2 linked regions of the Danio rerio genome follow. The protein of the gene in region 1 purifies or fractionates together with the protein of each later gene. This does not show direct contact. Links are inferred from orthologs where the notes say so. Each region holds a gene or a part of one and is shown in the gene's direction. Other genes may lie near its edges.

Region 1 (5,958 bases):
CACGCGCATATGTTGACTTTTTGTAAACAGTTTTGTTGTTTAAATATGATATTGCATTAATGTGCATACATGCTTTATAAGCTCTAAAATAAAAGGTAAAGCCTATTTGTTGCGTTTATGGATCCAGGTCAACATCAGCGCTTTTTTGGCATCAACACGTCTGTTAAACAGCATATTCTTCTTTCATTTTGCTTCTTTGGCAAATGTGTCTGTAGGCACGGGTTATACGTTATCGTCCCGCAGGTCAAATATGTCTTGCAGTTGAACAAGGGGCCGAAAATAATCTCACTGCCTTTATGTTGACAAAGAAAACAGAGAAGAAGCGCGGTCCTCTTATGAAACGACTGAATCAGCTGGGTATCGATTGTGCAAAAGTGTTGCTGTCTGTTACAATTGTAATATTTAATACGATTGTGATATTTAAAAATTTTACATTCATACAGCTCTGGATAACTTAAAACAGCGATTAGACCTTCAGAGCAGTGTTAATGCGTCCTGAAATAAAGCGAAACGGCTATAAACTCCAGCATGATAGAGTGATTATATGCAGAGTCATACTTTATCTATAAATAAAGTATAACTATAGAAACGGTGTTCATCTTAACTGAAAGCTTCTGAGAAGGCTGTCAAACTGACACCATCCAGTGGACACAATCAGAACAGCAGTTTCTTTTATTAAAAAAATTGCAGCTCATTTTTGTACTTTACAGAATTATCCCGCGGGCCGCATTAAACCCGTTTGCTGGCCTGATCAAGCCCGCAGGCTGTACATTTGACACCCCTGATCTAAATTGATCGATGATTGGCTACTCGACTAGTAAGCGGTAGGGCTGGGCCATTTGGCAAAAAAAAAAAAATCTAGGTTTTTTTATAAAGTTTGACAGATTCAGGATTTCGATTTTTTTTTTTTTTTTTTATTGTGTTACTAGTCTTCTCAAAACATTACAACAACATGACTGAAGTAACATTCTCTTTAAAAGTAACTTGAAAAAACATCTGTTAAGGAACATTGTATTTTTAATGGCCATGTCATACAAAAATCAGTCAAGGTGTAAATAAATGTAAAATATTCATGAGTTAAATAGCGTTGCTGAAGATTTGAGTAAGAAATAGTTGTGTAAATATTGCACTTGCAGGAATACAGAGGTATTTTAGAGGTAAGTTTTGCTGAGCCTAGGAAAGATTGGCTGTCAGCTCGGCTTTCGCTTTGTCTTCTGATTGAATGACAGGTTGTAAAGCTGCTGCCTTTTTCTTCAAAAGATACAGTGGAAGAAAAGGACTGAACATGGAAACTGTAAAGCCTAATTTAACCCAATGTGTGAAGTTATGGACGTATAGCAGGAGCAAATACAAGCACCAGATGTGTGTCTAATATAAATTAATATATTTAATCTATTTTTCCTTTTTCCCCTTTTAAATACCGATCATTTGATGCGCTTTGATCCACTCTCTGTATCATGCTGCCTGATCTGTCTGGTTTTCAACTAGGTCCGCTAAATGACGTCATGGGGGGCGGGTACTTTCATTTTCGCTGCTACTGGCCCTCACCTCTACTCGTGTTCGAACCAAAAGATCGGCGCGGTTTTTCACATGGCAGGGTTTTACGTCCTTCATACATGTTGAGATCGAGTTTATCGACTTGATGAGGGAATGTCTTGACAATCCACACAGACGTGACTCAGACTAATGCAACAAGTAAAATCCTACATGACTTTACGCTTTAACAGGCAGTCAAGCAGGTCGTACACCAGAAGCGCCACGACACGGCGCGCACATGACAGTTTAAACTATCACACACCAGACGCGCACATTTGCATGATATTTAACATGAAACCAATCAGATGGCGCTCTGTGGCGTGGCTGAAATATGAACTGCCTCCTGAATCGTGGCTGGACCGCGCCGGTGTGTGTATAGAAACCTGTTTAGCCGAGAGGTTCTGGTGTGCTTCCTGCTTCATAGAGTGAACCAAAGCGCATTGGTGCCATTATAATGTATTAAATATATTTTTTTTTAAAAATCGCGATTTCTCGATTTGAAACGTAAAGCCTGATTTATACTTCTGTGTCAGGTGACCGGCGTAACTCACGGCGCATGCAACGCGCGTGGCTGTGCATTTATACTTCTGCGTGCCGTCTCTGTCGGTCTGCATTAACACTTCTGAAACGCTAGTTGGCAGTGAGGTGTAACTGTTCCTCTGTGTCGAGTTTCTTCGCTGCTTTCTTGGAACTGGTGGGACGTGCAACAACTTTAACTATGAGGTAAACACAAAACAAAACTTTTCACCCGGAGCTCCTTCACGGGACTCCACACTTGTAAACAATTGCTTGCGCCATTCGCGCGGCTCTCGGTCCCGCCCAGACTCGTCAGCTCTACCAAGCCGACCAATCACAGAGCTTACGCTACGCGTCGTTGCGACATGTAGTTACATTTTTTGAGAGGTGCACGTCAGTGATGGCGACGGCCACGACGAAGGGCTATGCGTCAGCGCCGTAGCATACGCCGGTGTTTGACGCAGAAGTATAAATCAGCCTTAAACCTAAAACGTAAATTTGAATTAGTCGAAAAAAATAAAAATAAAAATCGCCTAGTAAGCGGGGCTTTATTCGCAATATTGCCTTTTACACTTTTCCCCATTTAAAACTATGCGAGTGACATGTCTTGTGTATTCTTTAGTAGGGATGTAACGGTATTGTAAATACCGTCATACCGCAATATTAATTTTTTTCGATATTACCGAAGTCGCATGACTCGGTAAAACTATAGGTCTTCTGAGAAAATTTGCTTAGGCGAATGAAGCGAACGGGAGGTAGCGAAAACTACAATACCCATCAGCCCCTGCTTGACCATCATCCCTTGCGGTCTGTTGTCGCTACAGATCCAGTAATGCGGAAATGGAGTGTGCTGCTAGAAGCGGGGATGAAAAGAGCTCTCGAGCGCCGAAAACGGAGCGTTTCGAAATGTGTGGATAATGTCTCAGTGTGGATAATGGAAAACGGAGACATCTGAAAACTGAGTCGGGGCTGCAGACATTCGCCTCTCTGATTGGTGCTTTTCCTGAATATTAAGTAGCCTAACACGCACAGTTCAGTCCTGCATCATCTCCTTGTAAGTTCAGACTTCGCAAGTTTGATCAAGGCTGCAGTCTCTTCTTCTCAGTTTGATATGGAAAAGCAGATTATACCGAGGACACGGGTAAATCTTCAAAGGGAACAGTGTACTTTATAACTTCATTCACATCACCCTGGCTTCGTTGTTTCACTTTATTAACAATAAAATGTAAACATGATTTAAGGAACTGCCTATTTTCATTTTAATATTAGCAACTTAGACAGCAGACATGTTGAGGCGTCGTGCTGCATATATGAGAGTCATCTTCACTGTGAGGATATTTATAACAAAACGGAGCCGATAACAACTGCCTCCTTTCAATTTCAGTGAAAATACGAAACACAGCCTCTCTTTTGCTGAGTATCTGTTTTAATAATCGATAATGGCCATTTTAAAAGTATAACATACAATAAGTTTATACATTATAGGAAATAAAGGCAAGCGATCAGTCAATATACAGAATGTACGTGGTTACATTAATCATTAACTTATCTTTGCGCTCAGCCAAAACACGTTACCTGAGAACAAGTAATAGATTCCAATGACCAAAGTCAGGGAATATGTCGTTAGATAAAGACAACAAGATGAATGAAATATCCCGTTTAATAATTAAATATAGTGAGATTAGATCCAGCGGGAGATGCTTGATGAGAAGTCCGACTAGCAGAGCTCTCATCTGTGTAGATGGGCGAGTGTGATTAAATGTTGAATGTGATGAGTTTTCAACAATACTAAATTGAAACTTTATTATTTTTACATGGTTTAATAATTTTTTGTTATTAAAATTGAAGTTCCTGTTTCAAAGCTTACAGATAGATGGCTAATTTGTATGTCATTGACACTTTTGGCACTTTTTTGGAGTATTTTCATAAGTTTTGTTTTTTCCTGTAAATGATTCAATAAATACCGTACCGTGACATTCATACCGAGGTATTACCGTACCGTGAAATTCTGATACCGTTACATCCCTATTCTTTAGTCTTTGGTGTAGCGTACTCACTGTTCGATGACTCTGTTGTGTTTTCCAGTGCTCGTCAGGACGTCTGAGTTCTCCGTGCTGTGCCAGCCCTCTGTGGTCTCTCCATGCCTCCGTCTCCTCTAGACGACAGAATTGTGGTGGCGCTGCCAAGGCCTATCCGACCTCAGGAACTCCGACTTCGCCTGGACACCAGCTACCTGGAAACCACCGTCGGCAAGACCACGGTAATCAGCAGCACCACCGTGGTGAAAATCCAGGCCGCCACGCTTTCGTATATGCCCTCGTCCAGCGGCTCCACACGCTCGCTGACGTGTGGATGCAGCAGTGCCAGCTGTTGCACCGTGACCACCTATGAAAAAGACGGCCAGGTCAGCGCCAGCAGCCCCAATTTACACTCTGGATCGGGATATGGCGTCCAGCAGGGGAGTGTGCACGGCAGTGCACCCAGCCTCACCTCCAGCCTGACCCGGGGCGGCATGCGGGTCATCCACCCTAATGAGCTGGCTAAAAAGCTGACGCATTGTCCATTAGGTCACCCGATCGGTCCGGTTCCCGTTATTATCGATTGTCGGCCGTTTTTGGAGTTCAATAAGAGCCACATTAGGGGTGCGATGCATATTAACTGCTCTGACAAGATCAGCCGCCGGCGCCTCCAGCAGGGTAAAATCACCGTCCTGGACCTGATCTCCTGCCGGCAGAGCAAGGACTCGTTTAAAGGGATTTTTTCTAAAGAGCTGGTGGTGTATGATGAGAGCACAGTGGACCCGGGACGGTTGACACCGTCTCAGCCGCTGCATGTGGTTTTGGAGTCACTACGTAGGGAAGGAAAAGACCCCATCGTTCTGAAAGGTAGGCAGATGTTTCTCTTAAATCATTATTAAAGCACTTAGCCCTTGCGCTCACCTCTACCTCTTGGAGACTGAGGTCTAACACTAACACGTTTTAGTTTTAATATGGCATTTTAGTATGAAAATGATTCACGTCCACACTGGAGTTTCACCTACTGTTTCTGAAAAAATCTCCATCCACACTATATACATGGTCGTGCCGAACTGAGTCTGGTTCTCTCAAGGTTTTTTGTCTTCATTCTCCTATCAGGTGAAGTTTTTTTTCCCTCTCCGCTGTCGCCACTGGCTCGCATGGTTCAGGATTGGTAGAGCTACGCATCGATGAATTTGCTCTTCAGTGTTTGAACTCTCAGTAATGATTTTAAATCACACTGAACTGAGCTAAACTGAACTGAACTGAACTTAAACACTGACAACTGAACTACACTGTTCCAGTTACTATGAGCATTTATGTGAAGCTGCTTTGACACAATCTACATTGTAAAAGCGCTATACAAATAAAGCTGAATTGAATTGAAACTATACCTCTGAAAACACACATCACGTGACCACACACACACTCTGTCATGCGCTGCAGCGGGTCTGAGTCCACTACATCCTTTTAGAGGTGCATCCAGCTCTGTGAGCTCAAACTCCTCCAGAAACTTAACCTAGATGACGGAGGCTTTCAGTGGTGCTTCTGACTGAGCCCAGCCCAGTTTGATGAACTGTTGTCGGTGAAGGCTGGAGGATTTCCCTCGAAACACCGACAACAGGTTCTACGTCACAATCACACCCCCACAAGAGCAAGCTTCTGATTGGTTAACGCGGCGCGAATGTACGCTGAAGTTCAGATTTTCGAAATCGAAAGATTCAGGCGAAACGCTCGTTAAGCGCGTCAAACGCGCAAAACGCTCAATTCGCCCCCGCCATTCGCGCAATTTGTGTCATTCGCGCCGCAGGATGTCCATTCGCGCGTTTGCATTGACTTAACATGTAAATCACTCCCGCTTGACGCGTCTGGTGTGAAAGCAGCATTACAC
Region 2 (4,947 bases), on another chromosome or scaffold:
GAGTGTTTAGGTGAGTCACATATTTTCTTTAATAGTTATTCTTTTATTATTTAAATAATCTGTATTATGCTGCTACTTTTATTCCAAAGCAGATTTATAATGCATAAAGTGAATGATGCGTATTTAAGGTAATTACTAATGATGGAACAAATTATGAGAGAAAAAATAAGTCTGACTGATCTGCACTGCCCAGCATTGTTCAGGGCACTGATTTCACTCTCCCTCCAGCTCTCTCGCAATCTGAAACAGCTTTTACTAAACGCAAAAATCGCAATGCTATGAAACATGCATCAAACTACGCATCATGGTGGCGTAGTGGGTAGAACGATAGCCTCACAGCAAGAAAGTCGCTGGTTCGAGCCTCAGCTGGGTCATTACTGTGTAATGTTTGCATGTTCTCCCTGTGTTGATGTGGTTTTCCTCTGGGTGCTCCGGTTTCCCCCACAAGTCCAAAGACGTGGTACAGGTGAATTGGGTAAGGTAAATTGTCTGAAGTGTATGTGTGTGAATGAGTGTGTGTGGATGTTTCCCAGTGATGGGTTGCAGCTGGAAGGGCATCCACTGTGTAAAGCAGGTGTGTCCAAACTCAGTCCTGGAGGGCCGGTGTCCTGCAAAGTTTAGTTCCAACCCCAATCAGACACTGGCCTAGCTAATCAAGCTCTTACTAGGCAGTCTAAAAACATCCTTGCAGGTGTGTTGAAGCAAGTTGGAGCTAAAATATGCAGGACACCAGCGCTCCAGGACAGAGTTTGGACACCCTTGGCGTAAAGCATATGCTGGATAAGTTGGTGGCTCATTCCGCTGTGGCGACCATAGATTAATAAAGGAACTAAGCCAAAAAGAAAATGAAGGAATGAAACCTTTGCTTTCAAAAAGCGAAGTTGTTTTTTTGCTGCACCGATCAGATCACAAGAGCAACTCATTCCTGCTATTTGCAGTAGTGCTGCCTTGGCACCGCATTCAATATTAATAATAAAAGTTTTTGTAATCTTAAATGTGGTTATTTCATTGGCTTTTAAGCTGTAAAATGATGGTTATTGAGTTAAATGTAAATATGTAAAAATCAATTAATATTATTTATCACTAGATCTACAGAGGTGGTAATTTTGACCATTTGTAATTTTTGCTGTTTAATAACTTTAAGATAAAACACCTGTATCTATAATTCCATGACTTTTACTAAAATTGTGTATTTTCCTTCTAACATTGATATTTTATTAAAATGAAAAAAAAAAAAAAACACAAAAGAGTTTTTATTTCTACCTAGATAAACCATAGCATGCATTTTGATGTCTGCTACTTTTCCCTGTAATTTTGCCTAGCAACTTCATGCTAACCAAAACAACTTTCTGTTGGCAAAAACATATCTTCAAAGATATGTCTTTCAAAACAGCATGTTTAGTGCCATGAAAAACCTTCTCCCCTGCTTGTGAAAGTGAAAAAAAAAATGGATTCATTCATAAGTGGTCTAATGTTGCCTAACTGTATATATTTATAGGTTGTATTACCAAAAAGGTTGTATTTTTAGGGTAATGACTTAATTAACTATGATAACAGACAATCAAAGCTTAATTTTATAATCTCTGTAGAAGTTTTCTATGACAACATGATGTCTTGTATGAGAGCGGTGACCGCTATTGTAATTTTATTAGCTATAGAATGTTGGTAGTTCCAATCATTCGTTCCTTCATTTTCTTTTCGGCTTAGTCCTTTTATTAATCAGGGGTCGCCCCAGTGGAATGAACCACCAACTTATCCAGCACATGTTTCACGCAGTGGATGCCCTTCCAACTGCAACCCATCACTGAGAAACATCCACACACACTCATTTAGCTTACCCAATTCAACTATAGCGCATGTCTTTGGACTTTTGGGGGAAACCAGAGGACCTGGAGGAAAACCACGTGAACACATGGAGAACATGCAAACTCCACACAGATATGCCAACTGACTCAGCTGAGGCTCGAACCAGCAACATTCTGGCTGTGAGGCGATTGTACTACCCACTGCACCACCTTGACACCCTGTGGTAGTTCCAGTGTTAATGAAATAAAAATAATTATTACAAAGCAGTTTAGGGTTTCCAGCCAAGTGCATGCAAAATGTTGGGTTTCACCCTAAAATTTTTATTTCAGTGCATCCCTACACTGTAAAAAGAATCCTGGTTACTTTAAATATTTAAGCTTAATCAAATGAATCTATTTAACCTATGTTAGACTGACTGAAAACAGCTTGTGTAACTTATACAATTAAGTTAGAACATGATATTCTTGGTTTAATAAGTTTCAATGAACTAAAACATTTAGTGTCACGACTAATTGATCTTTTTTTTTTTTTTGAAGTGTAGTAATTGCAATGACATGAATGCAGCTAAATTTAGTTTCACGTCAAATGCATTTGTTTAGCCTTGATGTTTATAATAAATTCAATCACTTGGAACAGTATGAAACAGGTGCGGGGTTAAATGTTGCCTGCATTCATAAGTATAAATAACACATTACCCTCAGAGACACTCATAGTAATGGATTGCTCTTTGTGCTTTGTAGACGGTACGGTTAACAGCAGCGCCACTCCCTCCCAGTCGTCCTCTATTAATGACATCTCATCCATGTCGACGGAGCAGACGCTGGCTTCAGATACCGACAGCTCTTGCATTGACACCCTCACGGGCCCATTGGAAGAGTGACTCCAGTGACTTCCAGCTCTTCTCCCTCATGTCACATCGCTGTGTGGGCCATGCAGAGGTCTGGACTGAACCGTGGGTGCACGTTCATACAGCTTCAAGTTTACACTTCACTATTGCTTTTAAGGGACTGCTTTTTCCTCTCTTCTCATTCGTGTAGTATTAGCTTTTGAGTTGTAGGCTGATGCTCAGATTACACTCCAACAAAAAAGCATCTTATTTTCTTTTAGATTTTATAAAGGAACTCCGTTCAAATAGACAGAAGAGTGCATTAATGCGTTTACATTTCATTTTACAACAACTAACATGCCATCTTCTCCGGTGGAGTTCTTATTGCAGCAGCATATGTAATATCTGAGACTATCCCTGTCATTAATGCCCTCGCTCTCCCCCTGTGATGTAGCTTTTATTACTATTCATTTCATCACCTAAAAGAAGCACAGATATAAATTGTTGAACTTTATAGCTAGCCATCCCCTCCAGAACCAATTCCTGTTACAAGAATTGCTGCATGATATTAACAAGAACACTTATTAGACAGACAGCGCAACTACAGATTACTGAAATACGCCTAAACACACGTAGGAAACAGAACAATAGTGCCTGCCTCTGTATATAGTCACCATACACCCATTTTAAAAGAAAACCCAATGATGGATTTCAGTTGGTTAGGGTGTAGTCAAGTGTGTATATACGTACATAGATTTCGTGTAAATGTTCGGATTTTCTTTGTTCGTGCTGTGGAAACCATTTTACAGCTTTTTAATATCTACTCTAAAACAGATTGCGATGCGACTTAAAAATGATTTAAAAATACAATTGCACACAGAGGGTCAAAAATTAACATTCAGCTTTTTAAAAAAGTGCATCTAAATTCAAAATGGTACACTGTAGATGCAAAATCCAAATCGGAGTCCCGTTCCTCATCATTCCAAGAGTAATTAATCACTGCTGGCAAGTTCATGACGTATTTCATACGACTGTGTTTCATTGCATGAGCTATTGCAATCCATTGCCTTTTTTAATCTCCTCAAACTTGAAATGCCTATAAGAATGTTATATAAAGCAAATTTATATATATTTTTTTTTTACTCTTAAGAAGTCTTGTCAGTGGCTTTTTCTTTCTTTTTTCATTAAGATGCTCATATATTGACAAGCTGAAAGATTAGTCATATTCTTATAGATTACCAGGAACATTTTATTAACTTTGCAATTCAGTAGCTTTTTCCATCCAAAGATGTGCATTAAATCTATGCGCAAAACTGAATTATCGCATAAAAGACGTGCGAGTAAAGCAGCGTTTCCATCCAATGAGCAGTGGCAGTTCTAGTTTAAATGGCACCCTTGGTGAACACCCTAAATAGACCCCTTTACCCATCCCCTGAGAAATAAAGGCTGGGTCCGAAACCGTCTACTACTCTGTAGGTACCGCATTTGAATTAAAACAAACTATTCTGCCGTTAAAAAAAGTTTGTTCTATACATTATGAATGTGAGCAGTATGAATGGAACATGGATGTACTACATCCGCCATTTTGTCATGATCACCTCACCTACCCACGTGAGTTGCGTCGCTTCACTCCCATTCATATTGCATAATGGGATAGCGCAGCATGCATTGGATACACTTTATAATCTTGCTGGAATTAGTAGGTCATCCGAATACTTCTCGCATACTGTTTTTCGAATTCTATGAATTCAGATAGAGAATAACAAACTTTCGCATGCAAAAGACGCCAAATGTGAATGACCCCTAACGTCCTTGTACTGAGATTAACACCCTAAATTAATTCACTTGCATAAAGTAAATCACATCTTGAAGCTTTTAATGGGACATGGTTGGTTTTTACTGGGGCGCTATTTATTTTTTGCACCATCTCCCTGTGCCGCCCCCAGCAATATTGCCCATGTCTAAATCTGCCACTGCCAATTAGTTAAAGAGAACATTTCAGATGTTTTAGAGTGTTCAGCCTGCTTGTTTATCCATTCACACACATTTTTATGACATGATCTCTTTTACCAAAATCACATGACCTTTTTTAATGTGCATACTGGATTTTGTTCAGTAAAAGTGATTCCATTGTAGTTTATTTGCATTTTTTTTTAATTGAATAAAAACTTTATGCTACTCGGTTATGTGCAAAATTTAATGCACATTTTGGCATTTCTATTAGTTTTTTATGTTCATATGCAAATAGTTGGATGGAAACAGCTAGTGACATACTGTGGCTAATCATACCCTTTGACTTTCTCCTTTTTAGCTAT

Evidence for each region.
Region 2: the proteins of dusp10 (region 1) and mapk9 purify together in Homo sapiens (affinity purification with mass spectrometry; 3 studies listed by BioGRID and IntAct, with this or other methods). This does not show direct contact. The link is inferred for Danio rerio from reciprocal best matches to the Homo sapiens genes DUSP10 and MAPK9.

Annotation. Positions count from the first base shown.
Region 1 is NC_133195.1:55,218,569-55,224,526, reverse strand, and holds part of dusp10 (dual specificity protein phosphatase 10), read left to right. Parts: intron 1-2,883; exon of another isoform or gene 2,884-3,193; intron 3,194-4,109; exon of another isoform or gene 4,110-4,137; 5' UTR 4,138-4,192; coding exon 4,193-4,937; exon of another isoform or gene 4,938-5,480; intron 5,481-5,958. UniProt on the Homo sapiens protein: Protein phosphatase involved in the inactivation of MAP kinases. Has a specificity for the MAPK11/MAPK12/MAPK13/MAPK14 subfamily. It preferably dephosphorylates p38.
Region 2 is NC_133196.1:35,023,494-35,028,440, reverse strand, and holds part of mapk9 (mitogen-activated protein kinase 9), read left to right. Parts: coding exon 1-10; intron 11-2,546; coding exon 2,547-2,686; 3' UTR 2,687-4,947. UniProt on the Homo sapiens protein: Serine/threonine-protein kinase involved in various processes such as cell proliferation, differentiation, migration, transformation and programmed cell death.